4 linked regions of the Diceros bicornis minor genome follow. The protein of the gene in region 3 purifies or fractionates together with the protein of the main gene of each other region. This does not show direct contact. Links are inferred from orthologs where the notes say so. Each region holds a gene or a part of one and is shown on either strand. Other genes may lie near its edges. The genes, in order: LARP7, NOC4L, KRR1 and GNL2.

Region 1 (7,986 bases), on a different chromosome or scaffold from region 3:
CTGCTTGACCTCTCAGCAGCATCTGCAGTTGATAACTCCTTCCTGGAAAACATTTTTCTTCACCTGGCTTCCAGGAGAGTTTTCCTCCTTCTCAATTTCTTTTTCGGGACCCTCCTACTCTGCTCTACCTTCACATGCTGCCTAGGATTGCATTCAGCCCTGGGCGCCCTTCTTATCGACACACCCATCCTTGCTGAGGGTCCCTGGCTTTCAGCTCCTCGGCTCCACGCTGATGTGTCACCCATCTACGTTCTCCAGCCCCGACTTCTCTCAGTAGCTCCCCATTCCAATATTCGACTGTCCATTTGACAGCTCCATTTGTTCACCTAAAGTAAATCTCAAGTTTAAAATGGCAAACATTAAACTCTCAAATTTTAACAGACCTTTTTTTGCCTAGTTTTCCTGATCTGCGAAAATACCAATTAAAAAATTGCCGAGAGGGCAAAAACCTTGAAATCCTCCTTAATTCTTCTTTTCCTCACACCCTACAGCCAATTCATTAGCATTTCTATGAGCTCTGACTTTATACAACATATCTTGAATAGGAATACTTCTCATTTCTTCCATCACAACCACCTGGTCCGAGCTCTGTGTCTTGCCCGAACTACTGCAAGAGCATCCTCATGTATACTAGTTTATACTCTTGTTCCATTATCATTTCTCCAGATAGCAGCCAGAATAATAATTTAAATATGTAAATCAGAACATGGCAATCTCTTGCACAAAATCCTTCAAAGGTTTCTTAGCACCCTCAGAATAAAATTCTTACTGTGGGCTACTAGGCCCTATTCAATCTGGCCTCGGGATATCTCCCTAACTTCATCTCTTAAAATTCTTTCCGGCACGAGCACTCCAACTACAACGCCCCATCTTTCTGTTCCTTAAAACACGCTAAGGCCTTCCCATCTCCAGGCCTTTGCTCTCGCCACTGTCTTTACCTTTCCTGCAGCATCTATAGGGATTATGTTCTTGTTCATTCAGGTCTTTGAAAATGTCATTTTCTCTACGAGCCTTTCTTTTCTACCCAACCTAAAATATTTCCTCCCTGCCAACCTTACCCCTACCCACTCCTCCAGTCACCACTTTCTATCCTTGTATTCTCTCATCATTACCCAGAATTACAGTTTTACTGTCTGTCTACTTCACTAGAAAGTAAACACTATGAGGACAGGAACTTTAGCTTGTCACGACCCAGGCATTTGGTGAATTAAATAAATAATGTATTTAAAAGGATCTTATAAACTATAAAGTGTTAAGCATTTCAAGTTCTTTTGTAAGAGGGTAGAATTATAAACAAAATACAAATGTGGCCTACGATTATCACTACAGCAGGGTCCACTGCTAACTTTCCCTTCTGAAAACACCAGATTATAAACGGCAGACTACCAGCTCTCCAATTCTTTTCCTTGTCAGAAAATACCACCTAAAGAAGTAGCGGACAGACCTGCATAAGCACAGAACAGCACAGTTCTCCTAGAAACCAGACTACTCCCAGGATTCTCATATCTCAGTCCAGAGATTCTCCTTCATTCCTTCTCCTAGGGATTATTTTTGTGGCTTGGGGAAGTAACTTCAGAAACTCTTACCTAGTGTGCATAACACATATCAGCAATTTGCAATCTTAAAAAATATTTATGTAACCATTATTATCATTTTATCATTTACCAGTCAGTTTAGAACAGTTTATAAACTATTCTAGAAGTCCTCCATCCTTCACAAAAGCTGTGCAACTTGTCTACAAGACAGATTTAATTTTGCGACTGTGATGTCAAAACTTTCAACACTAAACATTCCCAGCCCCTTCTTGTAACATAATATGTATTTTTAAAAAACTGTTAAATGAACCAGTGAAGTCTAACTAGCTTCTAAACAGAGCTTTTAAACACAGAAAACAAGTTACTGTGTAACAATGTCAGTCACTTTATATACCTTGCTTGAAATCCTCACAAGCCCACTAGGTTGTTTCTTCCAACTTCTTTTTATAGAGGGTCAAAGGTTAAGTGACTTGAGCAAAGCTGGCTGGGTAAGGAAGCTCAGGTATGTGTGACTCCCACGTTGCCTACCTTTCGGTAGAACCTCTTGCAAACTGTCACCACGCATTCTATGTTCTGACTCAGGAATTCTTAACCTGAAGTCCATGGAATTTTGGGTGGGTTTCAAGAATTCTTGTGAATCCCATGAAATTGTTAAAAGATAAATTTTAAAGGAAAAGTAAAATCACGACTATTGTATAAATATAAAATGAATACATGTCAAAAATCTTATTTAAGTAATTCATTAGGGAACTAGCTAAGTGTTAAAAATCAGTTCACAGGAGAATTAAAAAACCAGACACACAAATATAAGCTATCAGGAACGGCGAAATGAATTTGTTAATAAACGCACAACCGGTCAGGGCAACAATGGCAAAAATAACTGCAAGACTAATTTCCATTATTATCGTTGGCTACAACTGACACAATTGTGAAATAACTCAATGACAACGACAGGCAGAGATAACCTGGAAGAGGGAGCTACCCAAGACACCCAGTAGTTTTTTTTCTTGGCCATTTCAAAGTCTTTCACAATTTTTCCTAACAAAATTATATGCAAAATGTTTTGACATGTACCAGCATTTTCCGGGGAGGCTCAGCCACAGCTTTTATCACGTTTTTAAAAGAAATGGTGTGCCAAGAAGGTTAAGAACCACTGCTCCAGTCACAGCCACCTATGCAAAGGTACCCGAACGCTTTCGCCCCTCTGTGCGTTTGCTCTGAACGACTCCTGTCTGCCTTGCCTTATAAACCCCACTCAATCTCAAGGCCCCGGCTCACGGCCTCTTCCTCTCCGGAGCCTTCCACCGCATCTCCCCCGATTAACCGCCTCCTCATCCGCTTCCCTGAAGCACGGCTATTGACGCACTCCGTACACCGTATTTAGCACTTATTTGTTAGCTCCCTTCCACAACTGGACTTTCAACTCTTTGCTGACAAACACTAGAGTCCTGAAGAAGGAAATGATTTCATTTTAAAACACAAGTCCTCACATTCGCTATTCTTTGGCCACCAAGCGGCAAAGCTGCGAAGCAAGGCTACTTCCATTTTGACTTCTGCCCCTCTCAGCACCCGTCCCTCCGCACGGACGCCGCCAGGGCGGGGCGGACCCCAAACTTCCAGCGCCGGACAACGCGCGCCCCCAATCGCTGACAACTGGAACTACAAGGGCTGCCAGAGGCCTTCTGCGCGTGCGCACAGAGAACCAGGGCACGCCAACTGACGGGTGAGTTGGAGGGGGCGGGGTGAGAGGGCCTACAGAGGATAGAATGGACTGCATGAAAAAGGACTGAGGGGAATTTAGACCTCACCCGACCTGGGCAACCCTATGGCCCACTTGAACTTACTCCGTTCAGCCCCCAAAATACAGGGCCAGAGACTGCGTCCTTGAGCTCTTTCCGTCTCCCGATCCTTACGGTCCTGGTCGTCTCTGCGTCATAAGAGGAGCGACACCGTTCTCCGCTTCCCGTCGCAGAAGACGGGCCCAGGGGCGGCGCGCCGTCTCTTACGTCACAGGCGTGGGCTGCCTCGGGGGGCGGGGCATCGCAGAACGCGCCCGCCCAAGGAGGCTCGCAGCTAGGGAAGAATTTGATTGGCGGTTTGAGAACGGCGGTTCTGACGAGGGCTCTGGTGGGCGGGCTAAGTATGGGGTCCTGGTCTGGTGCGGTCCCGGGCTAATGACGTCACAGCCTTTCGCGGGAAAAATTCGAAAGTGGATTTCGTGCAATGGACGGTGAAGTGAACTGATTCCCGGGGTTTCCGGGGCGTGAGGGTGGGTAGGCGCCGGGATTTGAGCGACAGGCGGCGAAGCTGATTTGGGGCGAGGGGACCAGAGAATCTGCTCGGCCGGAAGCGGACCGGAGGGTGCTGTGTGGAGCCAGGATTGGGTGGTGACAGTCACGGCTTGGTCGGACTCCCTGTCATAGCTGGTTCCGCGTCCTCACGGCTCTTCCCAGCCCCTGCTCTGCCGTTCCCGCGTACGGGTGAGGACCAGAGAGGGTTTTGCTCCTTGTTTTCAGGACTGACAAAGGGTCAAGTCTTCACTGTCATTTGGTTACACAGGATCCTGGTAGTTAGAATCTTGGCAGATGAAGTGTGGGCTTCTTCTTTGGTTATTTGGACTGAATGGTTTTCTAACACGGTGTTGGGTCCGTGCCTCTGCAGCTTTTAAATCTGTGAACCATTTTGGGATTCGAGAGATCCTGCTTGTTCCAAAACAAAAGGACCAAAAACATCTCGTCATACGTAACAGGAAGAATGGCTCCTAGTTTAGTGAAAGCACCGAATTTTATATATAAATGTATAAAGCAGCATAATAATGTATGTGTATATATGTGTGTGTAGGCATTTATGTATGTCTGTACTTATATCATTGCCACAGAGCATCTCCACACCACTTTAAAAACTTCTTTGGGCACTAAACTCACCCTGCAGAGATGGGTCAGTACTTGAATTGTTTGACAGATGTGGACAGATGAAGACTTTCAGAAAATGTTTTATCCTTGCACCTCACTTAAATATATGATGCTGTTGGCTAAAACCATTTTTCCTGTTTAGTTGTAAGAAAGGAGTGTTGACTTTCCTTTGAAAGTGGAAATTAGGGCTCTTCTAAATCCAGCTAACCTTTTTTTTTTTTTTTGAGGTTTAATCCTATAATCTAATTTACCATTTATGAGAGTTTGGACCTTCTCAGTTCCTTTTAAGTAAATCCCACAAGTAATATCTCTAATTTAGGAAAACAATGGGGAATTTATTTTGCAATTCCTAAGTAGCATATAAGTAATTCTAAACTAATAAATACTGGATTCCTAATCTGTAAATTGTGGTGATAATATCTACTCTTCAGGATTATGAGACTGATGAATATTATATGTGAAGTATCTAGTCCCAATTCCTGCCTGACATAGTAGGTACTCAATAAATTGTCGTATAATGTACTATTTGTGAGTATGAGCATCAGAGTTTAGGCTGCTTAGTTTTGAATTCTGAATCTTCCATTTGTTTACTTTATGATCTTGGGCAACTTACTTACCTATTACGTGCCTTAGTTTTCTTCTTTGTAAAATGAATATGAAAAATAGTATCTATACCATAAGGTTGTGAGCGTTTGCAGCATTTTAACACTGTCTAGCATATAATTGCACAGAATAAATGATAGCTATTGTTAAAGGGATCTAAGATTAATAACTGCCACATGCCCAGCACTGTGTCTACACCATGTAGTCTCATCTACATACATAGGATGTCCAACCCGTTCAGTGGCTGGGAGCAAGTTGCTTTAAAAGCAGCAGTGAATGGTGTGTTTCTCTGGACCTCTCTGTTATCTTCTTGGCATTCATTAGGCGTCTGACAATTTCTGTGGGCTGGAGGGGAGGGATATAGGATATGGGAGTTATATTTCTGAAAGGCAGTGCCTCTGTAGGTCTGGGTCCTGTCCTGTGAACTATGTTGTGGGGCATTAATTCATATCTCATTTGCCTACTTCTTACCCCATCCTTTCTCCACACAGCAGCTGGAGCAATCTTTGTAAAACCCCAAGTCAGATAATGTAATCTCATTCTTAACATCTTGCCGTGGCTTCCTACTGTCTTTGTAGAAAGTCCAGACAACTCAGCCTAACATAGAAGGCCCTCTGAATCCTGTTATTGCTCACTTTTTCAGTCTCCTGTCTCACTACGTTACACTCAACCTCTTAGCCGTACTACTGAGAGTTTCTTGATCACGCCTTGCTCTGTCTTCCACAGGCCTTTGTACATATTGACTCATATTTGGAAATAATTCCCTGGCATCTTCCCTTGGTTAATGGTTATTTCAGTGTCCAGCTCAAACATTACATCCTTCAGGAATGCCCTAGACCGAGTTGGGTGCCCCTCCTGTGCTTATTCCTGTCATATTTTATTGTAATTACTGTTTATCACCCTGCTATACTGAAAATTCCTTGAGATTAGGGATAATATTTCGTTCATTTTAGTATTTCAGCCTAGCACAATGTCTGGCACATAGTAAGTACTAAATAAATATTTGTAATTTATATATAATATGTAGGTAGCCTATTTTATATATTTTATATGTATCAAGGAGAAATTGAATCCAGAACTGCAAATTATAGCTTTATTGAATCCCCCAGGTCTTTTAGGGCCATCTTCTCAAACTCGAGCGTGTATCCCTGTCACCTACAAGGCTTGTTAAAACAGACTACTAGCCCTGATTTAATAGGTCAGGGGTGGGACCCAAGAATTTGAATTTCTAACTAGTTCCCAGGTGATGCTGATGCTGTTGGTGCAGGGATCATACCTTTGGAACCACTTCTTTAGGGATAAAGTAATAATTTCCTTTGGTATTTCTGTTTACTTCTTCAAGTCACCATCAGTGATTTTAGATTTCCAAAATTGCCCACAATAACAATTTTTTTTGTGTGTGTGAGGAAGATCAGCCCTGAGCTAACATCCATGCTAATCCTCCTCTTTTTGCTGAGGAAGACCGGCTCTGAGTTAACATCTATTGCCAATCCTCCTCCTTTTTTTTTATTCCCCAAAGCCCCAGTAGGTAGTTGTATGTCATAGTTGCACATCCTTCTAGTTGCTGTATGTGGGATGCGGCCTCAGCATGGCCGGAGAAGCAGTGCGTTGGTGCCCGCCGGGGATCCGAACCTGGGCCGCCAGTAGCAGAGCACACTCTTAACCGCTAAGCCACGGTGGCGGCCCCCACAATAACAATTTTATCCAATGGCATAGGATAACTACAGTACTCATGGCAACGATGTTGAAGAGATTTTTCCTTGCGGAAGTATTATAATGTATATTTGGTCCTAGATACTGTGGTATATTGACTCTAAGATGTAAAAGGAAAAATTTAAAACGCAAGGGGGCCATCTTGTGGTGGCCATAGCAATTCAAAAAACTTTAAAAATTGAAGCTCTTTCTATAAGGAACCAAACATGGAGGGGAGGGGGAATCATATTTTCTGATATATATTATGGCACTTGGAAAAATGCTTGCGAGTGCTAATTATTTTGTATATTTTACTTGGTTTTCTCTACCTAGCAAATTCTTTTTCCACAGTGTGGTGTCACTCTTTTCATATGTCCTCGGGGGCAGATAATTTCATTATACCTCTGTTTCCCTTGGTTACATGGAACTTGGAACTCTTAGATTCCTCTCTCTGGTCAAGAGTTTGTTGGGGGGGGCTGGCCCCGTGTCCTAGTGGTTAAGTTCAGTGCCACTCTCTTCAGTGGTCCGGGTTTGGTTCCTGGGTGCGGACCTATACCGCTTGTCAGCGGCCATTCTGTGGCAGCTACCCACATACAAAATAGAGGAGGACTGGCATAGATGTTAGTTCAGGGTGCATCTTCCTCACGTGAAAAGAGGAAGATTGGCAATAGATGTTAGCTTAGGGCGACTCTTCCTTACGGAAAAAAAAAAGTTTGTGGGGAAAAATTGTATTTGATATTTATTCTTTTCGTAGGGGTTGAATAGTCCTTGTCATTTTTCATTTTAGGTAGCATAAATAGTTGAATAACTACTGATTATTTTCTGGACCTGACTGGTTTATAAGTTCAGAAGAAACAATGGAGAGCCGAGAATTTATTGTAAGTCTTTCCAGTTTTTGCTTATTTCCTCTTTTCTTCCTTCCTTCCTTCTTTCCGCATTTCATAAATGTCTTGCTAGGGTTGCCAGATTTAGCCAAAAACAAAACAGAACAAAACAAAATAAAAAAAACACCTGAAACCTAAAAGTAGGACACTCAGTTAAATTTGAGTTTCAGATAAACAGTGAATAATTTTTAGTTTAAGTATATCTGTCTCAAATATTGCCCTGTATTTTATCTGGCAACCGTATCTCTTGCCTACTATTTGCTTTTGTTATACAAAGTCTTTTGGCACAAATTCTTTGGAAGCTTGGGATCAGGAAATAATTTCTTTCTCTTGAAAAACTGGCATGCCTCTTCTCTCTAG
Region 2 (6,935 bases), on a different chromosome or scaffold from region 3:
CCTTCTTGCAGAGGCTGAGGGGCAGCTGGGAGGGGCGGGGCGGGTCAGGTTGCAGCCGACACCCACCCCCACAACCACACGGGGCCCTGTCCCAGGCCTACCTCGTGTTTGAGGAAACCGAGCCACATCAGCTGGAAGGCTCTCCTGTGCTCCTGTGGGGAGGGGGATGGAGGCTGCACACGCTGCCCCAACCCCCACTCTAGCCACCACCCCGAGATGGGGAACACCACGTGTCCCCACCCCCCTGTTCCAGACACTGCCCCACCCCCCTCCTGCCATGTGTGGGTAGAAATAGCCGGAACCTGAGGCATCCCGGCCAGCTCCTCTGCATCTCTCGCAGCCACAGAAGAGTAGGCAGGCGCTGCATTCACAGCCACCTGGGCACTGACACTGAGCACCGACCCCTCCTGAGGGGTCCGGGCGGGCCACCTCTGACCTCTGGGAACAGGGTGCCTGCTGGCCTCCTCCTCCCCTTGGGGCCTCACGAGTGGCCCTGGTGGGTATCTAAACTGGGAAGAAAGCAGCTGCCCCACTCCTCGTGTCCCACACAGGCTGCCTACGTCCGGGGGGTTGATGGCACCCCAGAATCGGCCTGTTCCCAGGGAGGCCCCCGCCCTCCAGAGCATCTCACCTTCAGATGAACGACCTTCCACTTGTCCGACAGCTCTGCAAGGAAGGTGAGAGGTCATTTGACACACAGGACGGGAGCAGGGGCTCGTCAGGGTGCCAGTGTGTGAGGCTCAGGCGCCCCTGCTGGCCCACCTGCCCCAAGTGCTCACCCGTGTGCCCCACGTAGAAGTTGGAAATGTCACTCTCCTGGCGGGGCAGGCTCACGGCAGACAGCAGCGTGAAGGCATTGTTCCAGAAAACAAGGGGCACCTGCCGGAGGTGCGGTGTGAACACCTAGACGCCGCACACCCACCGTCCACTGCCCACACCCAGAGATGGGACCCAGCCAGCTCACCTCAGGGTGCCCAGTGGCGACCTGGGCCACGGTGTCTGAGGCCGCCTGCATCGTGTGGTAGCGGATGTCGTCGTGTTCCAGATACTCCTGGAACTGGGAGAGGAGCAGCGAGCGGTCCTCCTCGGGTGAAAGCAGGCCTTCCACCACCAACTGGGTGCAAGACCGGGAGGTGAGCCTCTCCCACCCCTCAGGATGGGGCAGCCCAGGGATGGGACTCACCGAGCAGAGTCCAGGCGGGCTGCCAGGGTCCCTGCTGAACCCCACAACCAGTGGACTGCCCCAGGAGACCCCTGAGGCGGTAGCCTCCCTGCCTCCCACAGGGGAGGAAGCACCACGTACAACAGCCACCTGTGCCAGAGACCCATTCCAGCTCTAGCAGCTAAGGCCTGTGGGGAGCCCAGCACCCCCTCACCTTGAAGAGCTGGCGGGGGAACAGATAGTTCCCTTCCCACTTGGGCTTCTCCAGGGGGTGTGCTCCTTCCAGCTGCACAAACTTCATGAGCGTTCCGAGAGCCAGCTCCTGGGAAGAGCGGGTGGTGAAGTGGCTGCGGTGACCCCAACCACACGTCATCTCCGCTGCAGAAAGCCCACAGAGCTGCCCCCGGCATTCAGGCCTAAATGCCCATGAGACGTCACCCCTGTAAGACTCAGGAAACACGACAACACCACCCACCAAAATCCTAATCAAGAAAAAGAAGAAAAAAGCTTCCCTGCCCAGACAGGTAAACGGGGGAAGACTCGTGCCTGCAGCCACAGCCCCCGGTTGCTGCCGTGTGCGGAGAGTCTGGGGGCTGGGGGTGCGGAGGACGCACAAGGACGGGCAAGGCCAGCGACCCCAAGACTCACCTTGACCTGAAAGGAAGGGTGGGCCAGGAGCTCCCCCAGGCGGTTGCAGCAGCTGTGGTAACGGTGCCTCATCCACACCTTGTACTTCCGCGTGGCCCCCTGAGACCCTGCAGGAGGGGCAGGGTGGTCAGCCCACAGGGATGCCCACACACACCAGGCTGGGCCCAGCCCCACCCTCCCGCTGTCCGCTCCTCTACCCAACCAGGGAAGTGAGTGCAGACAGACCACCGAGACCCATTCCCCCAACCAGGGAGAGCCACTCCTACAAGGGCCGGGTCCCCACCTCCTCATTTTACCCCAAGATCTGGACGCCCAAGAACCACAACATGTAGCCCCAACTTTACACAGGATCACAACTCATGTTAAACAGCATCAAATCCCACAAACGGCACAAAACACACACAAAGAATCACGCCTTGCTCAACCTTCTCTAAGCTTAGTTATAAAGTCACCAACCTTCACCACCCACCCACCCCCAGCAGAATCACCCGCTCCCACTTCCCGCGGGCTTGGGGTGTCCTCTCACCAACCTGGACGCTCTGTGATGATGGGGTTTGGGGGGCTCACCTCATGCTGGCAAGGTTCCCTCCAACCTCGTGACAGGAGGCCCAGGGCCCTCCGGACGCTCACCTGCCATGACCGTCTCCTCAGGGGGCAGCTGGCCCACAAACAGCTCTCCCCGCTCCAGCAAGGCCCCGAAGAGGCGGCTGCACGCGCGCACGGCTTCCTGGATCTCCTCCTGGTCCTCGGACTGCGGGGAGAGGCCGGTCGCAGGGTGCCCCGCCGGGAACCGTGGCCCCTGCCCCTGTCCCCGCCGGACTCCAGCCCCACCGCACCTCACCCGTGACCCTGGCGTGACCCCGACCCCGCCTCTGCCAACCCTCCCGCTGGACCCTCCAATCAGGGAGGCCTGCGAGACTGGGCAAGGCCCCAGGCAGAGTCCGAAGCCGCTCTGCGACTGTCTGCCCGCACCCGAGCCGGAGGGGGGCCCCGGTCTGGCCTCCGGCCCCGGGACCGCGGCCGCGACCCCGCCGCCCCCGCGGTCCCACCTGCAGCACGGCCAGGATGTCGAACACGGCGTTGGCCTCGCCGCGGCTCGCCAGCACCGCCTCCAGCAGGCGGCCCAGCGCCCGGCGCGCGCCCGCGGGGCCGGGGTCCCGCGCCATGCCGCCGCCCCACGCGGAAGACACGGGGCCGCCGCGCCGCCGCCCGGCGCGCCTCTGACGTCACCGCCCGGCGCCTCCGCGTCATCGCGCCGCGCGGGGCCGGGGCGGCGTGCGGCCGGCATGGCGCTCTTCCACGTCGCGCGGTACGCGGGCCCCGAGGCGGCCGGGGCGGAGGCCGGGGCGGACGGCCGGGCGCGCGCGCTGCTGGAGCGGCTGCAGTGCCGGGCCCGGGAGCGGCAGCGGCAGCAGGAGCCCGCGGAGGCCGCGCAGCCCGCGGGGGCGGCGGGGAAGCGGCGGCGGCGACCGCGCAGACCGCGGAGGCGCGAGGGCGGCGGGGCGCCGGGGAGCAAGCGGCGGAGAGCGGACGGCGCGGCCGCGAGCGCAGGTGGGCCCGGCGGGGCGGGCGCGGCGCGGCCCTGGAGCCGGGTCCGCGTGGGGCTGACGCGCCGCCCGCCCCGCTTCTGCCGCGCAGGGAGCGGCGAGGAGGCGCCGGGGGACAGCGGCGAGGGCGCCGAGGCCGCGGGGCCGCCGGAGGACCAGGACGGACGGCCCCCCGCGGAGGCCTCTGGGCCCCCGGCCCACGCCCTGCTGCTCGGGGGCTTCGAGAGGAGCAGGGCGCCCAAGGTGAGCGGCGCGGGGGCGGGAGGCTGCAGGGGCGCGGGCCGCTGTGGCTAATGCACGCCTGTGTGTGGGGTCGCTCGGAGGGTGGTGCCTGCGCCTGGCGGCCGTCAGTGTTCCTTGAGTAACTTCACAGGTTAACGCGCGGCACGTCGGCTGTTTATTCTGCCGTGTTTATTTTGATGGTTTGAATTCTGCACCAACTCAGTATGTTTAGTTTTAGTTGTAAAAGTATTATTTTTTTATTGTCTAAATCAACATTATCAAGTTGGTTTCTGTGCTGCTGTCAAAGAGGTCTTTGTAAACAGCTTTGGTCGTTTGGGGTACACCCTTGAACTTCTGCTGTGCTCTCACGAACCTAGGGAACAAAACAGAAGATTCCACTAGGTTGCTGGACTGGCCAGGTCTCTGTTTTAGTGAGGGAGGTTTTCAGTAAACAAGTCGGTGAACCAAGAGTTCTTGGAGGACGACGATTACCGTGAGGAAGAGAGGTTTGGCAGGGTGCGCAGGGGCACCGTCATATCAGGGCACGTGTGGAGGTCCACTTCGAATTGTGATCAGAAGACAGGAATCAGTCTGGTTAAGATGGGGGTGGGAGGTTTGTGCCACGCAGAGGGCAGGGTTGGGGCAAAGGCCCTCGGGCAACAATGAGCTTACTGTGTAAGAACAGAGGTATGTATAGCTAGGGGACGTCCAGTGATAGGAAAGGAGGTCAGGGGCAGGTGAGTGCCAGTTCACAGGGGGCCTTGCCTTGCGACTCAGAGGCTGGATGTTGTTGTGGGTGAGAGGGGACACCCCCAGGGAGCGTTTTCCGGAGACTGGCACCTTCTGGTGTCTCTTAATTACTGTAAAGTCTGCGTGGAAAGTGGGTAGTGAGGGATCAAGGAAGAGCTGGGAGACTAGTTAGATGGTTCGTTGGGGCCTCTTTCCTGCAGCCCCTCAGCCCTAGTGTCTTGAGTCCTTGGTTTCTGCAGCCTTGCTCCCCCAGCCAGGCAGGCTTAGCGAGTATTCACCTGGCCTCTTTCTCACCCTTTGTGATAGGTCCAGCCTTTCCTGCCAGCGTGGCTGGCTGAGCCAAGTTGTGTTGGAAAGAACGTCACCAAAGACCTGGTGCCTATCGAGGATATTCCTGAGGTCCACCCTGACCTGCAGAAGAAGTTGCGGGCACATGGCATCTCATCCTACTTTCCAGGTGCCCCAGCCCTGGGACAGGGGACTTCCTCATAGAGCATCGTCACTCAGAGTCACACAAGGCCATAGCTTAGCAGCTGCCAGGGCCAACAGCCCCTGCATGCCCCCACCATCAAGTGTGGTCTTGGTCTCGGCATCTTCGGCCACCGGAGCCTGACACTCCTTGAGGCTCTGATGCCGCCCTGGAGTGAGAGCAGCGCCGCCCAGAGATCACAGATGGGGGAAGGCTGCTTCTAGCCGTGAAACCTGTGTTTGTTCTGGGTGTCCCTGCACAAACACGACTTGCCTTTTGCTCTCCCTTGTCCAGTCCAGGCGGCAGTGATCCCTGCTCTCCTGGAGAGCGCGGCCAATGGGTTTCTGGTGGGCAGAGCTGGCTACCGACCCAGCGATCTTTGTGTTTCTGCCCCGACGGGCAGTGGGAAGACCCTGGCCTTCGTCATCCCCGTGGTGCAGGTGAGTGTAAGGACCCTCCCACCCTCCAAGTGGTCCTGACCAGCAGGGAGCTGGCCCTGCTGACGCAGCTGGCTATCTCTCCCTCTGCAGGCCCTGCTGCATCGAGCCGTGTGCCAGGTCCGAGCCCTGGTTGTGTTGCCCACCAAGGAGCTGGCCCAGCAGGTAGGTGGACCCCACACCTGGAAGTCAGACTCTGAGTCCCTGTCACTGTGGTGTGGGGCCTCAAGCCAGTGCAGTGACGGCTGCTCCTCCTCCAGGTCAGCAAGGTGTTCAACATCTACACAGATGCCACTTCTCTGCGGGTCGCCCTGGTCACCGGGCAGAAGTCACTAGCCAAGGAGCAGGAAAGCCTTGTCCAGAAGACGTAGGTCCTGCTGGGCCGTGGGCTTAGCTTGTGCAGCAGGAGCAGGCGGCAGCTGCATTGTAGCCACCTGGTCCCCGGGGGAGCAGAGCGCGCTGCCATCGCAGGTTCCCCACGCTGGGGGGCTCAGTGTGGGGGCCCCCGCTAGGCAGCTCTCTGCTCCACAGAGTGGACGGCTTCCGCTGCATGGCTGACATCGTGGTGGCCACCCCTGGCCGCTTGGTGGACCACATCGACCAGACCCCAGGATTCAGCCTCCAGCACCTCCGCTTCCTGGTAGGTTGCCAGCCCTGAGGGAGGCGCAGTCCTGAGCTGAGGCTGACCTCAGCCACCAGATCCCTGGCCTCCCGTCTCCCGCAGGTCATCGATGAAGCTGACAGGATGATAGACAGCATGCACCAGTCCTGGCTGCCACGGGTGGTGGCAGCAGCCTTCCCGAGCGAGGGCGCCAAGGACCCCTTTGCTCTGGTCCAGAGAAGGCAGCCCCAGACCGTGACTGCTGCCAGGTACCCGGCACCAAGCTTGCTCTGCCCTCAGGGCTCCCTTCCTTGGTCTCTCCAGTCTCTGAGACCCACTCCTCCTGGTCTGGTCTGGTCTGATCTGGGGCGCCCAGCCTTGAGGAAAACCCTCCCGGGACTTAGGTAGGGCAGGCTGGTCGGGCCTCAACTGCTCTCCCAGCACCCACTCCTCTTTCAGTACCTGCTGGCCCCAGATGCCGCTACAGAAGCTCCTTTTCTCGGCCACTCTGACCCAGAACCCAGAGAAGCTGCAGCGGCTCGGCCTCCACCAACCCCGGCTCTTCTCCACGGGGCTGGCACAGGGGGGTTCCAGAGATGCTGACACGGAGGTGGACGGGGACTCGGGTGGGAAGTATACCTTCCCTGCAGGGCTCACGGTAAGCGGGGCACACGGGTACAGGGAGGGGGCACGCCCCGGTGCTCAAGGGCCCGCCAACCCCGTGCCATCCCCACAGCACCACTACGTGCCCTGCAGCCTCCGCTCCAAGCCAATGGCCGTCCTGCACCTCCTCCTGGAGACGAGCTTCTCAAGAGTCCTCTGCTTCACCAACTCCCGAGAGAACTCCCACAGGTGAGGCCGGGCAGGCCGGGGCGGGGCAGGGGGCATTGAGGCAGAGGCAGTGGCGGTCCTGGCCCCGGCCCACTTGGCTCTGGCGTCTCCCCCCAGGCTCTTCCTGCTAGTCCAGGCTTTCGGTGGGGTGACCGTGGCTGAGTTCTCTTCCCGCTATGGGCCTGGCCAGAGGAAGACGATCTTGAAGCAGTTCGAGCAGGGGAAGATACAGCTGTGAGTCCTTGGAGAGTGGGCCTGGTCTCACTCT
Region 3 (7,141 bases):
AAAATCAGTTGCATTTCTATATGCTAATAATGAACTAACAGAAAGAGAGCTCAAAAAGATAATACCATTTACAATTGCATCAAAAAGAATAAAATACCTAGGAATAAATCTTACCAAGGAGGTGAAGGACCTATACAATGAGAACTACAAGACATTATTGAGGGAAATCTACGATGACATAAAGAAATGGAAAGATATCCCATGCACGTGGATTGGAAGAATAAACATAGTTAAAATGTCTATATTACCTAAAGCAATCTACAGATTCAATGCAATCCCAATCAGAATCCCAATGACATTCTTCACAGAAATAGAAAAAAGAATACTAAAATTTATATGGGGCAACAAAAGACCCCGAATAGCTAAAGAAATCCTAAAGAAAAAGAACAAAGCAGGAGGCATCACAATTCCTGACTTCAAAACATACTACAAAGCAATAGTAATCAAAACAGCATGGTACTGGTACAAAAACAGACACACAGATCAATGGAACAGAATTGAAAGCCCAGAAATAAAACCGCACATATACGGACAGCTAATTTTCGACAAAGGTGCTAAGGACATGCAATGGAGAAAGGAAAGTCTCTTCAATAAATGGTGTTGGGAAAACTGGACAGCCACATGCAAAAGAATGAAAGTGGACCATGTGCTATTGCCATTCACAAAAATTAACTCAAAATGGATCAAAGACCTGAAGGTGAGACCTGAAACTATAAAACTCATAGAAGAAAATATAGGCAACACACTATTTGACATTGGGTTTAAAGGAATCTTTTCGGATGACATGCCTACCCAGACTAGGGAAACTAAAGAAAAAATAAACAAGTGGGACTTTATCAGACTAAAGAGCTTTTATAAGACAAATGAAACCAGAATCAAGATGAACAAACAACCAACCAGCTGGGAGAGAATATTTGCAAAACATACATCTGACAAGGGGTTGATCTCCATAATATATAAAGAACTCACACAATTGAACAACAAAAAAACAAACAACCCGATCAAAAAATGGGCAGAGGAAATGGACACTTCTCCAAGGAAGATATACAGATGGCCAATAGGCACATGAAAAGATGCTCAACATCACTAATCATCAGGGAAATGCAAATCAAAACAACACTAAGATACCACCTCACGCCCGTTAGAATGGCTATAATCACCAAGACAAAAAACAACAAATGTTGGAAAGGATGTGGAGAAACAGGAACCCTCATACACAGCTGGTGGGAATGCAAATTGGTGCAGCCTCTATGGAAAACGGTATGGAGATTCCTCAAAGAATTAAAAATAGAGATGCCCTATGATCCAGCCATCCCACTACTGGGAATCTATCCAACGCACCTGAAATCAACAATCCAAAGAGGCTTATGCACCCCTATGTTCATTGCAGCATTATTCACCATAGCCAAGAAGTAGAAGCAACCTAAGTGTCCCTCGACTGACGATTGGATTAAGAAAATGTGGTATATATATACAATGGAATACTACTCAGCCATAAAAAAAGATAAAATCGTCCCATTTGCAACAACATGGATGGGCCTGGAGCGTATTATGTTAAGTGAAATAAGCCAGAAAGAGAAAGACAAACACTGTATGATCTCACTCATATGTGGAATATAAACCAACACATGGACAGAGAAAACTGGACTGTGGTTACCCGGGAAGTGGGGGTGGGGGGTGGGCACAAGGGGTGAAGGGAGTCATATATGGGGTGATGGACAAACAAAAATGTACAACCCAAAATTTCACGTTAGAAACCATTAAAATATCAATAAAAAAAAAAAAAGCAAGAAACAGAAAAATGCCTACAGTCCTCGTTCATTTATATAAAATTCAAAAGCAGGCAAAATTAAAGCATCTTGCGCATAGGTAGTAAAGATGATGGAGAAGAGAGCGATCAAGACGATTCAGAGGGTGACTGACGTGCCGGAGGGGGAGAACCCCACGGAGAGGCTGCGGGGCTCGCGGGCGCAGGGACGCTCTCTTCCGCTGGACGGCGCGGGCCCTGCTCACGTGCGGGTTGACGCCTGCGCGGTGCGTATACTGCGCTGCCGTGAACGCTCCACCACGAACGACGCCGCCCCGTCAGCACCTCCCTAACGCCTGCAGAGAGCGAGGTCAGGCTTTTAACCCTTCAGTAGGACTGGCTGCTCAGGCCCGGGGCCCTGTCTCCAGCCTCTTCCTGTCATTCACTCGGAAGAAAACAGACAAAACCAGACGCCACAGCGACACGTCAACTTAAAAGTGGGGCAGCCTCAGGAGCAGGAGCCGTGTCGTCTGACGGACAGGAATAACGGAAACGCTTCCACACCTCCACTAACCGACACGCCGGGTCAGGCCACGCGGCCGTGTCCGCCCCGCATCCCCGCGCCTGTCCCACGCCCTCGGGGCCGGCGCTCCCGGACACACCGAGCTCCTCCCGCGTCCCTCAGCTCGGCCACGCCAGCCGCCGCCCCCGCGCGCGGTCCCCGTCCTCACCGGTTCACAGAACACCCGAGGACAAGCAATTAGTCAGGAACACGTGGCCGGACCACACCGGCCAGACCCGGCCGCCACCCCCAACCGTCAGCAACTGTGGCCCTCCACTTCCCAGAGCGGACTCAGGCGGCGTACGCGTCCCCGGCCAGCCAAAGACACAATCGCGCCTCCACACCCAAACCCCAGGCTTCGCTTCCCACACACCCCCACCTCGGTTCTCCGGCTTCGGCTTCTGGGTTCGAGACTCACTTTTCCCAGCCGCCGTGGCTGGGCCGTTCAGTGAGGAGGACGCCATCTTCAAATTGCTTCCGGTGTTACCGGAAGTGACACGGTTCTTAAATCCTACCGGACTTAAAAATCCCTCTACTCAAAATGAGTTCCGCAGAACTCAGACGAGGAGATGTGCGCAGTCTCCGTTCGTGCGTACGCCTGAGCCCGCGGAGTTGCTCAGTGCAGCGCTTCTCGTGCGTGGCCCGTGGAGAGCCGGAGAGTTCGTTTCCGGGGTTCTTTTCCGCGCTGCAACTGCGGAGTTTGACTGCATGCTGGGAATTGTAGTTCCGCACTGTGGGAACATTGAGGGCTGTCGGATTTGTAGTTTTCTCGTGGCCCCAGTGTCTAACCCGGGACGTCGGACTTCAGGGTTAGGGCACCTAATGCTATCGTCATTAATGTCACTTATTCGTTCATTCGATATAATGTCACTTATTCGTTCATTCGATAAATATCTTATATAATCATCAGGTAAGTCTTAGGAGTTGGGAAGAGGTACAAGTATGAGAATATATGGTTCTCGACAGCAAGAAGTGACGGTAATAACTACCATTTGTTTGTGCCTGGCACTTTATTTGCATTTCTAATCCTTAGAACAAAATAAAGTTAAAACAAATCTCTCCAAAATTGATAATTTTTTGGAGGGTAAGTTTTCAAATCCTTGTTTCTGATGGTAGTTTTCTTGGGTCTTGATATTTAGCTGTCTCCGCCGGAGAGGTAGTAATTAAGCGACACTCCTGAAGTGTTTCACCTAGCCTAAGATTTTCCGAAATGACAAACTCCTGTCTACCCCAGCACTGCATATGGCTGACTTCAAGGTGTGAAATTCATCACTGCTACAAGTGTTTACACTTCTAGGAATCTAAAAGTTCTTACACATGGTAAAGATAGGACTTCTTTTGATGATTGGTCTTATTGCTTGACTTTTCTAAAATTTCCTGCAGCACAACTAGGGAAAGTCTTTGATAGGTTGAATTCCTTGTGTTAGTGAAAGGAGGAACGTTTATCTGAAATCCACCCTATGTATCTTCTATAAAAATTTAGATTTCCGTATATGAGGTACATGTATAAAACAGACTGTTACTTGGGAACAGAAGATCCCAAGACACATGATTATGTTAAGATCTTTGCTTTTATCCTGTGTCTTAAAAACGACAGTCAGTGATTCCATTCCTATAGTCTTACAGTTTGCTCAAAAAGCAATGACAGATCCGTATAGTGAACAAATAACAACAGGTGAAAGTTAAAAAGTGAGAAGCAATTCCTTTAATGTTCCCAGAAACTCTATGAAGCAGGGTTGTATTATCCTTATTTTAAGGAACTCAGTCGCTTATAAGTGGTGAGCTAGACTTCGAGTCCAGGCAGTCTGACCATTAGCACCTCCAGAAAGGCTACTATACTAAAGGATTAATTGTTGCAAATGTGTCAGAAGGAAGGCTGGGTTTTCAGCCTCACAGCTTTTGGACTTGAATTACAGCATCAGCTCTCCCCTGGGTCTCCAGCCTGTTGGGCCACCCTGTAGATTTTGGACTTGCCAGGAATCTATAATTACTAATCTATAAGTTTGTGGAGAATCTTGACTAATACAGCAATTTGTAAGAGTAAATCCAAATGGTTGATGAACATATGCTGCTCAACCTTACTATGGTCAAAAAAGCATATAGACGTAACAAGGAAATATCACTTCTCACCCACCAGATTGGCAAAAAAGAAATAATAAAAAAATTTTTTTAAATGATAATCTACTGGAGGAAAGGGCACTGTCATACACTGCTGGTGGAAATGTAAACTGTTACTGCCTCTTTGCAAACAATCTATCAATATAAAATATACACATATTCTTCCACAGTAATTCCACTCCTGGGAAACTGTCAACTAGAAATAAAGCATCATTCCATTAGAATGTGTGTACAACTGTGTTGATTACTGCCTTGTATAGAAGTGATTCAGTGAAAGGTGCTTTGGAGCCACACTGACTGGTTTGCCACTTAGTGGCTATATAGCCTTGGGCAAATTTCTTACCACCCCTGTTCAATTTCCTACGATGGGGAGATAAACTTTACCTCAGTGACTTTATACATGGAAAATGCTAAAAAAAAAAATACTTTGCAGGTTGTACTGATACCAGCTCAACACAAGATCCACATAAGGGAAGCCATATTGTAGAAAAGAAACAATATTGTAACTTTGAATGACCTCTGACTAACTCTGCGGATTTTATGGCCCCTCCCAGCTGCTACAAGTTGATAACTTTGTTCTCTTGAGTTCCTTAGGAATGTGATGACCCCTGGGCAGAGAGTCTATGCTGATAGCCATCATCAAGGACAACTGAAAGATCAGGGTAGAGGGCTTTGCTCTGGTCTCTGATGCATATCCAGTAAAACAAAGACTGCCAGGAACTAAAACCAGATGGTTGCCCCCACCCGGAGACCAGATGGGTGTCCCTACCCAGAGACCAGATGCCTCCACCTGGAGATCAGATGCCTCCCCCACCCGGAGACCAGCCCTCTATATAACTGGCCTGTAGTCTTTGTTCTGGGAGATGGTTCTTTCAGACATTAGTCGGCCATGTTCCCCCTTGCTAGCAAGCTGTAATAAACTGCCCTTTCTCTGCCACCATCTTGCCTCGTGATGATTGGCTTTTGTCTTGCGGCGAGCAGATCGTGCCCTTTGTGTGGTAACAGTACTCACTCAGTGAGTGTTAGCTGTTATTTATTTATGGTGGCAAAAATGTAAAAGCATCTTGACTATCAATTTGGGATATAGTTAAATAAATTGATGTTACCTTCATAACTGTGAGCTATTACATAGCCATTCATAAGAATTAATTAAATCTATATGGAAGAGATGAACTAGAAGCATTGAGTGATAAAAGCCAGATACAGAAAGATGGGATAATAATTCTATACATTTTTATATATAATTATATATATATCTCATTTTTATATTTTTATATAATAATTATATATTAATTATCTCATTTTTATAAAGCAAACCATTCATTCATGCAATAAATAGTTATTGAGCATCTGTAATGTTTCAGGCACTGTTCTAAATACTTGGTTCTTTTTTATGTGCTGGACATAATAATAATTATATGTGTGTGTATATGTGTGCCTATATATGTATATGAATATATTTGTTTACATGTGACTGTACAATGGGAAAGATTTGGAAGGATACATATCAAGCTTATAAGGCTGGCTACCTTAGGGATGAAGGCAATTAGAAAAGAAAAATGAAGTAGGCAAAAAGAGTTAAAAAAATAGGTATCCATGATAAAAACAAGCGTGCACATGACCCTGTTTATATCACACTGTCTGTTTGAGTGTGCACAGGGAAGTCTATGAAATGATGGTCACCAAAATGTTGACCATGTTACTTCTCAGTATAGAGACGTTACAAAGGATGGCAATTTAAATAACAATACAATTGTAAATCAATCACAATTTACATCATTTTATTTTAACATCCTTGGAAATCTGAATATAAATATGTACTCAGATCTGCAAGGTTATTTTCAGAAATTGTACAAGTAACACTAAAAAGGGAAAGAAAAAACTAAGGAGTTTCTTGTCACAAACCTGGGCTGGGAAAGTCCTCTCTGTGTCACAGCAACAGCAGGCAGACCCATTTTGCTTGTGACTTCTCCCTTCCTTGGCCTCATAAACAATCTAGACCCACATGCAGCCATCCTCCTACAGATGACGAGTTCCACCAGCTCTTACCCTGCTTATTCATTTTCCCGTGAAAAGCAAGTTGGCCTCACAACTCTCCTTTGGAATTAGAGACCTTAATTCCCACAAAATTAACCCAGAGGGTAGTGGGCAGAGAAGTCAGAATGTGGCTTAACAATGTTGGGGGATGAAGAGTGCATTTATCTCTTATTAAAAAGAGTAGGAAAACTGGGCAAATAAGTGTGATTTATTTTCCGTTTAACATTTCTGCACTCATTTAACAGGGATAAAAATGATTTTTGCACAGTAATCTATGTGGGTTTTCTTCTGCTAATTTTTTTTTAAATAAGCAATCAAGACAAGTTTTCTCAAATACATAGGATTGACACGTTTTTATTTTCTAACATACATAAGCTACTTTCTATTCCAATTGACCTCACAGCAAGGTGTGAAATCTTCAATCAACATATCTCTATCAACATCAGTAACGCTAATAACAACTATGGCTGTAAAATAAGGCCTGTTCTAACTCCATAAGATTACATATTAAAAAGGATCTAGGGGTAACAGTTGAGAAGGGAAAAGCACAGTAAAGCAGCCTAGCTGTAAACTAATCATGTTATTAACCTATCTTTAGAAAAATAATGTCAATAAAAATGAAGTGTTCTGCATGAAAGTCTAGGAAATCTGGGAATCTAGGAAGAGACTGTAGGGGA
Region 4 (7,803 bases), on a different chromosome or scaffold from region 3:
AAGTGTAATAGGAAACACACTGATCCTGGGGAGATGACTTAATATGGGCCCTCCAGCCTTCTTGGAGCTTAAACAATTATCTACGATTTGGAGTTACACTTCAAATTCCCACATCGGTGTGTGTTCTGGATCCATTTCTCAGGATGCAGCCAGCAATCTTGAGTTATCTAAACCAGGCTGAAAATTAGAGGCCGTTAACAGCATCTCATAAAATTGCTTCTCAGATTTTCTTAAGCAGAATTTGCTGAGGACCACAGGGATTCAGTAATAGGAAGGAGCAAAATGCTGCTAGTTATTTTTCCAAAGCTTAATCTAGGGATCTTTTTGAAGAGCTCCTTACCCAGCAATGAGATGAATGCCAAGACCAATACAGACTATGTTTTTCCCACTTAGAAGTGGTGACCAGATACATTATCCATGAAGAAGTTTCTTGGGGTTCCCAGATGTGAGTCTCTTAGCCACTTTTCATAGCTACCCAGCCTACTATCTTGCTATATCCTTGTCCAAAAAATTCCCAGGCATCCTAGACTGAAAACTAGACTGAGGGCAATTTGGCCAATGAAGCTCCAATTTAATACATCTTATTTTCTTATATTCCCCTGTAAACTTTTGAGGTTGTATGACCAAGGACTCTCTCTTTTTGTTTTCTACAAACAAAATTAAAAAACAAAACCCTGAAAACATATTCTGAGTACTTCTCTGTTCTCCTAGGATCCCAGAGCCTCTGCTTGGGGGCTAGTAACTGTTTCACATTGAGCAACAGCCACTCCAGGGGCCCAACTCTTGGCCCCAGCAGGCAGGGGTCAATGCATTGTGAATTTGCCAGAGGATAGACACAGGAGACTGAATAGAGAAGCCTCTGCTCTCTCAGTTCAACAGGGAAGGATAAATCAACAAGCTGGCACTAATTAAGAGCTAATGGCCTTACAATGGAGTGTTGCCAAAGGATAACGACCCTCCGGCTGCAGCATAAATATCAAGGCATTTGGGGTAGAGCCAAGACATATATTTTCAGAGTGCATAAGACGCTGCTGCAGCCTTCCTCACCCTGGCTCTGCTGAGAAAAAAGAGAGGATTTAAGACAGGTGGAGAAGGAGCTAGGTCTTATTAGGGCTGCCTTCTGGTCAGCTGGTCAGAAAGCCTGAGGATGACTTTTGGGAAAGACTTTGCTTTTCAGAAGATCTCAAACTTTTGTGTATACAAGAATCACTTGAGGAGCCGGTTAGAATGTATATTCTTTGGGCCCCACCTCCGGAAGGTCTGATTTAGGTAACTCTGGGGTGAAGCCCAAGAGCCTGCATTTTTAACCAATTCCCCCAACTGATTCTGATGCTGGGGGTCCTCAGAGCACACTTTGAAAACTGCTACTTTAGAAGCTGCTTCTACTTGCCCATTAGATCCCAATGAAGAAGTTTTTACAGAATGAAGCGAAGTCAAGATTCTCTTCTCCCTGTGAAAACACCAGTCCATTCTTTCCTTTTAGAACTTGGCACAAGGCTGTTTCAGAAAGGTGGCATTTTGAAGCCGACCCGGTGGCATAGCGGTTAAGTTCACACGTTCTGCTTCGGCGGCCTGGGGTTTGCCAGTTCGGATCCTGTGCGCAGACCTACTCACCGCTCCTCAAGCCATGCTGAGGCGGCGTCCCACATAGAAGAGCTACAACTCTTCAACTATGATACACAACTATGTACTGGGGCTTTGGGCAGAAAAAAGAAAAAGAGAAAGATTGGCAACAGATGTTAGCGTAGGGCCAATCTTCCTCAAAAAAAAGAAAGAAAGAAACGTGGCATTTCGAGCCAATTCCTGTTGGGGTCTTCCCATTCACACAAACCTGTGGTTACGAGGAGCAAGGTTCCAGGGAATGAGGAGCTAACCATAAGTCTGGAGGAAAACAGAAAGCATCCCATCTACATGGGGTGTACCATTTCTGCTATGCTTTCTTACAGCATAATTCATATGATCACGCTGCAATCTTTCAGCGTAGTTAAATTAATATATCTCTTCTAAAGCTGAGGAATCATAGGCCTGGAGGTGTGTCTTGCTTCCTCTGGTCACCACATCAGGAAGGAGAGTGAAAAATCTATTACAGGGCTGGCCCCGTGGCTTAGTGGTTAAGTGCGCGCGCTCCGCTGCTGGTGGCCCGGGTTTGGATCCCGGGCGCGCACACATGCACCGCTTCTCCGGCCATGCTGAGGCCACGTCCCACATGCAGCAACTGGAAGGATGTGCAGCTGTGACACACAACTATCTACTGGGGCTTTGGGGGAAATAGATAAATTTTAAAAAAAATTTTAAAAAAAACCTATTACAATTATGGTCAGCAGGGCAAGCAAACCAAATCAGTAACTTGAGTTTGACCTACCTTGATCAGGCTTATTATCAGCTGGTAGAACTGAGGTTGGTTGTCGGGATCAGCCATACTGTTGTAAAAGGATTGATGGGATTGATGGCTCAGATTATAAAAATAGACGGAAAGTTCATATGATAAACGCAAGCTGAGTATGAGAACAGGAGAGAAACAACGCACCATATCATCTGGGAAAATGAAACTCCTTGGCAAGACTTCACAACAGCCTGATTCAAAATTTCATAATGAAATTATGTCTCTGATCAAAGCCTGAATGAGCTCATGGGCTGATTTTTGCCATTCGTGTTTATTCTGGTTTGAACCAAACTGAGGCATCAGAAACACATTATCTTAGTTTTTTCTCCGGGAGTGGGCCATTGCATCCTCCTTTGGGGGACCAAAGGGACAGTGTGAGGCAGAAGGGGGCATCTTTGGATCCTCAGTGGGCATGAAGTTGTTTCTGACCAGCTTTCAGAGACTCCCTCAGACACCGTGTTAGGTTCAGAGCCTTTCTAGCAAAATCGTGTTAAATTTCACGATACTTGCCCTTGGGGCAATAAAAGTCAATCTCAAGGGAGAGAAGGTATTTCCCCCTGTTGTCTAGGACATGGCCTGCTTTTGCTCTAGAAAGAATGTTTTTCGGTTTGTTTGTTTCAGACTCAGAAAAATAAAGACTCAGTCATCCCCCCACAATTAGAGTTCCTCACTTTATACTAAGTTGTTTGTTTTTACGGAATGGGCTACACCACAGGCTGGAATCCACCTTCTTCCTGCCTAACCACCTCTTCTCTGGACTTAGGCACAGTGATGGGCATTTCCTGACAACTTGAGGTGCCAAAAAAACAGAGAGGGCTTCTTGGTTGAAACACTGGCATCTAGAGAGTTTATTTTGACTAACAGAAACAGAAATTTCTGGGTCTTACACCCTTGTTTCCCCCTCAAGGCAAGAAGCATTCCCATCTGCTATTGATTACATGTTTGTGTTCCCCTAAAATTCATATGTTGAAGCTTTACTCCCAATGTGATAATATTTGGAGATGGGGCCTTTGAGAGGTAATGAGGTTTACATGAGGTCATGAGGGTGGGGCCCCCAGCATGGGATTAGTGACTTTATAAGAAGAGGAAGAGACCAGAGTCCTCCTTCCTCTCTCTGACATATGAGGACACAGTGAGAAGACGGCTGTCTGCAAGGCAAGAAGAGAGTTCTCACGAGGAACCCAACTGTGTGGGCACCCTGACCTCGGACTTCCCAGCCTCCAGAACTGTGAGAAATAAATCTTTGTTATTTAAGCCACCCAGTCTACGGTATTTTGTTATAGCAGGCAGAGCTGAGACACCATCTATTCATCATTCATTCAATGAATATTTATTGAGTCCTTACTATCTATGTGTCAAGTGCTGTTCTAAGTCTTGAAGATACAGCAGTGAACAAACTTACAAGGTCCCTGCTCTCAAAAAGCTTATATTCCAGTTTTGGGGAAGCAGCTGATGAACTCGTAAATAACAAATTTCAGCTAGTGATAAATGCCATGAAGTAAATAAAACAGAATAATGTAACAGCATAACTGCAGAAGGATGGGAGATGGCTGATTTAGACAGATTAGACAAGAAAGACTTCTCCCAGTAGGCAGAGTTGCCAGATAAAATATAGGATGCCCAGTTAAATTTCAATTTCAGATAAACAATGAATAATTTTTAGTATAACTATGTCCCAAGCAACATTTGGGACATACTTATACTCAAAAAAATTTCATTGTTTATCTGAAATTCAAATTTACCTGGGAGTCCTGTATTTTTGCTAAATCTTGCAACCCTACCAGTAGGTGACATCTGAACTGAGAACTGAACCACCAGAAGGAAGTAGCTATGCCAAGAATCAGGGAAAGAGTGATTCAGGCAGAGGGAACATCCAGTGTAAATCTCGGAATAACCAGAGGGAGGGAGGTACAAATGAAGTCAGATAAATAGCACGGGCCAGATCATGCAGAATTCTGTAGGGATGGCAAGGAGTTTGAGTTTCTTTCTCTCTGTCTCTGTCTCTCTTTTACTCTGAGTGATGATAAATTATTGGAGTTTTAATAAGGGTGCCAAGATCTGATTGATTTGGCTGCTGTGTGGTCAGCCACTTTTGGAAAGACTTAGAGGATAAATTCATTAGATAATTAAACTTAAGCTTGTGCCATTGGCCTGGGAAGAGGTTTCTGTGTTTGGGGCGGACCGAAGTAGGAGCTCTGTGCCGAGCGTCCAGGGTGACTAGGCGGTTGCTATGGAGGGGCAGCGTGGCGGTTGCTAGGGAGAGAGGAGGGCGGGGGCTCGACGCAGGGCGACGTCTAAGCGGCCGGGGCGGGGGCGGAGCCAGGAGTGCGGCGGCGCGCGGCGCGCGTTCGCAGGAAGTCGCGCGGGGGCAGGAGGGGGCGCGAGCGGAAGTGACGTAGCACTTGCACACGTGGTCCAGCGTGCTTCACGCCGGTCGCTGTGGCTGGGCCTGGGGCGTTACGAGGTTTTTTTACCTTTTTTACCGTACGTAGGTCGGACCTAGCACTCGGGTCCCCGTCGCGGCGGCAAGATGGTGAAGCCCAAGTACAAAGGACGGAGCACCATCAACCCGTCGAAGGCCAGCACAAACCCCGGTACAGGCGGCGGGGCTCGCGGAGGGTGGAGCTTGGAGGAAGCTTGCGGGGAGGGCTCCGAGGAGACCGAGGGGGAGGAGGGACACCCGGGTGGCATGGCTTGGAGTGACCTCAAGCAGAGTGGCTGTTGGGGATGGGAAGGGAGAAGATGGTTTCTTCATTCGGAGGCACTGAGGAGGGCCGACATCTTGCACGCCTGTCAGGGCTGGGTGCCAGGCACCGAGTCTGAAGTCGGAGAGAGGGAACGCTCAGGCCTGGCAGCCTTGGGGCGTCTCCACTTGTGAGATGCAGAGACTGGGAAGCTCTGAGTTGGAAGGGGCAGTTAAACTTGACCTCTTCTTTTGTTCCTGTGTGGGTCGTGTTGAAGCCCCTCCCCCAATATATGTCAGTCTCGTATGATTCCAGCTCTCCAGCTCAAGGCTTGCTAGAAGTGAATTAGATCAAGTTGGATTAAAAGTGGTGTAGGCCGACGCAGCTGGCTTTTTACACTTGACCACACTTGCTGCCACCTTAGCTTTGACAATTTAAGTGAGAAAGGGATTGTTAATTTGGCTCTTGGAGTCATCCCATCGGGTCAAGTGTGTGGAAAACCCTACAGATAAATAAATAAGATCATTTCACTGAAGATGTTTTTGGAGATGTTTATGAGTTTTGTTGAGGTTCCACCTACAGGTTGAACAAGGTGGCCTTTGGGGGAGTCCCTTCCATTTGGGTTTAGTTAATAAAATTTTGTTTTTAAATATGGTTTCAATTTTTTATGGCTTTAATTCATGTTGAGTGTTTTCCCTGGATTGCTGATAAATTACTCAATTTGTGTAGACTGGAATCTTAGAATGTTAGACCCGAAAAGGTCCTTAGAGATCTTGATGTCAAAGGTGAAGAGACTAAGCCAAAATAGGGGAAGTGGCTTGTCACAGTTGGCATGGTTAGTCAGTAATAGAGCCATCAGTCCGGTGATCGCAGCCTCTTTTCTATGACATCACTGTAAGAGTAGACAGGTGGTTTGAAGGGATCCCCACATGAGGCTGGTTTTACGACACTTGTCCTTCTCTTTCTCTCTGAGATGTAAGACAAGAATTACTACCTATTTTGCTGTTGATTAAACTAAAATCAAACATTCGGAAATTAAGAAACTAGTACATTAGAAACACTTAGGTATCAAGATTGTAGTCTCCAGGGTGCCTTGCATGTAGCAGGCACTCAAAATTTGTTAAAGTGAGATCCAGAGGTGGATGTCTTTGTGGTTCAGAGCACAGGTGGTGATCAAATGCTGTTGTTCACATTCTGGCTTGCCATTTGTGACTTTGGGCAAGATGTCTGGCCACTATGCCTCAGTTTCTTAGCCTGCAGAATGGGGATAATGTATCCCTCTTTATAGGATTATTGTATGGATTACATGGGATGAGACCTATAATGTGGATAGCACAGTGCTGTAGTTAGTGCTCAAAAATATTAGCTCTTATCATTATCAAACACAGTCTTATTGAGGATCAAAGGTTAGATCAGCTTTGTCATACCATGTAGCTTCCAGTAATAATTTTTTTGGAGCAACATATGGAGGAAGTAGAGATTTTGCAGTGAGGTGGCGGCTTGCTTACTTTGAGTGAACTAGTTGGTGTGTTTGAAGCAACGACCGTACTTAGACTTGTTGGTTATCAAATGGTGTGCAATCTACTTCTGGGTTCCCTAGATCGAGTACAGGGAGCAGGAGGCCAAAACATGAGGGACCGGGCCACCATCCGGCGCCTGAATATGTACAGGCAGAAGGAGCGCAGGTGAGTACTGGGTGCTGGCATCCTCCCCCCTCTGCTTCAAGCCCTTGACTGAATAGCTGAGGCCTATTAAACCTATGATATTCCCACTCCCACTTTCCCCAAATACGAGTAGTGTATTTTCAAGTATCATTTTATATGGGTGTTATTATGATAAATTGTGAATTCTTGGTTAAAGACATGAGTAGTGGGTGGAGAAATTGTGATTGTGTCACAATACAGCAATTAGAGGTCTTGTTCCTTACAGCCTCAGCCTCCACGAATGGCATATTAAATCTCAAGTTAGGTATCCGTCAGATGGAAATCTGGTTTTCTTTAGTGAAGCATATAGGACTGTAGTCATGAAAGCAGCGAGAGAACTTGTTTTTTAATGCCAGACTTTAGATCACAACATTGTGGCACTTGGAAACTCACCACCAATCTGCGTTCTGCTGAGGCAGCCTCTACCACGGGGACTTGCTGAGTGTGGCATTTTTCTAGCTGGTCTTAATTTGTTTGGTAATTAGATTCTCCATCCGTTCTAAAAGATGTGTCTAAAACACAAATGTCAATGAACTTAATCTGCCTTAGTCACCTGCTCTGCAGTTTGTTTCAGAATTTTGAGTTCCAGCACAAATCACCCTCTACTTAAAATTCATTTAAACCAGCCTTCAAATAATTACCCAAAAAACTCACGTATGTGATTTTTTTTTAAAGCTAACAAACAGTAAACAGATTTTTAAACATCAGCTTTATTTGTTATTCATCCAGCAGAAATCGTTACGTGCTCTGTTGCAAGAGGTTAAATGGCTTTTGGGCAATCTGTTTCAAATGTAGAAGTACTTTTTGTTTACTGAAATCTGTATTTCATGATCCTTTAAAACCAAAAAAAGGAAAAAAAAATCCTTTTGATGGAAAGGGTATTCTGTAAACCAGACTTTGCTGTTGTTGCCTTTCTTCTGTCGTCAACCAAAATCTGTCATTTCCTCCATTTAGGAACAGTCGTGGTAAAGTGATTAAGCCTCTGCAATATCAATCAACAGTGGCTTCTGGCACAGTGGCGAGAGTGGAGCCA

What was found.
Region 1: the proteins of KRR1 (region 3) and LARP7 purify together in Homo sapiens (affinity purification with mass spectrometry; 4 studies listed by BioGRID and IntAct, with this or other methods). This does not show direct contact. The link is inferred for Diceros bicornis minor from reciprocal best matches to the Homo sapiens genes KRR1 and LARP7.
Region 2: the proteins of KRR1 (region 3) and NOC4L purify together in Homo sapiens (co-immunoprecipitation; 3 studies listed by BioGRID and IntAct, with this or other methods). This does not show direct contact. The link is inferred for Diceros bicornis minor from reciprocal best matches to the Homo sapiens genes KRR1 and NOC4L.
Region 4: the proteins of KRR1 (region 3) and GNL2 purify together in Homo sapiens (affinity purification with mass spectrometry; 3 studies listed by BioGRID and IntAct, with this or other methods). This does not show direct contact. The link is inferred for Diceros bicornis minor from reciprocal best matches to the Homo sapiens genes KRR1 and GNL2.

The regions. Positions count from the first base shown.
Region 1 is NC_080750.1:7,541,953-7,549,938, reverse strand, and holds the start of LARP7 (la-related protein 7), read right to left. Parts: upstream 3,011-7,986; 5' UTR 2,616-3,010; coding exon 2,610-2,615; intron 1-2,609. Other genes in the region: protein ZGRF1, read left to right, coding at 7,600-7,620. UniProt on the Homo sapiens protein: RNA-binding protein that specifically binds distinct small nuclear RNA (snRNAs) and regulates their processing and function.
Region 2 is NC_080774.1:948,566-955,500, forward strand, and holds the start of NOC4L (nucleolar complex protein 4 homolog), read right to left. Parts: upstream 3,005-6,935; 5' UTR 2,977-3,004; coding exon 2,860-2,976; intron 2,562-2,859; coding exon 2,441-2,561; intron 1,918-2,440; coding exon 1,811-1,917; intron 1,485-1,810; coding exon 1,377-1,484; intron 1,115-1,376; coding exon 965-1,114; intron 880-964; coding exon 780-879; intron 667-779; coding exon 632-666; intron 153-631; coding exon 102-152; intron 26-101; coding exon 1-25. Other genes in the region: ATP-dependent RNA helicase DDX51, read left to right, coding at 3,097-3,600, 4,636-4,786, 5,093-5,238, 5,329-5,400, 5,496-5,602, 5,767-5,875, 5,960-6,105, 6,296-6,494 and 2 more.
Region 3 is NC_080764.1:43,844,314-43,851,454, reverse strand, and holds the start of KRR1 (KRR1 small subunit processome component homolog), read right to left. Parts: upstream 3,007-7,141; 5' UTR 2,774-3,006; coding exon 2,689-2,773; intron 1-2,688. UniProt on the Homo sapiens protein: Part of the small subunit (SSU) processome, first precursor of the small eukaryotic ribosomal subunit.
Region 4 is NC_080752.1:51,627,556-51,635,358, reverse strand, and holds the start of GNL2 (nucleolar GTP-binding protein 2), read left to right. Parts: upstream 1-4,798; 5' UTR 4,799-4,913; coding exon 4,914-4,977; intron 4,978-6,667; coding exon 6,668-6,752; intron 6,753-7,724; coding exon 7,725-7,803. UniProt on the Homo sapiens protein: GTPase that associates with pre-60S ribosomal subunits in the nucleolus and is required for their nuclear export and maturation.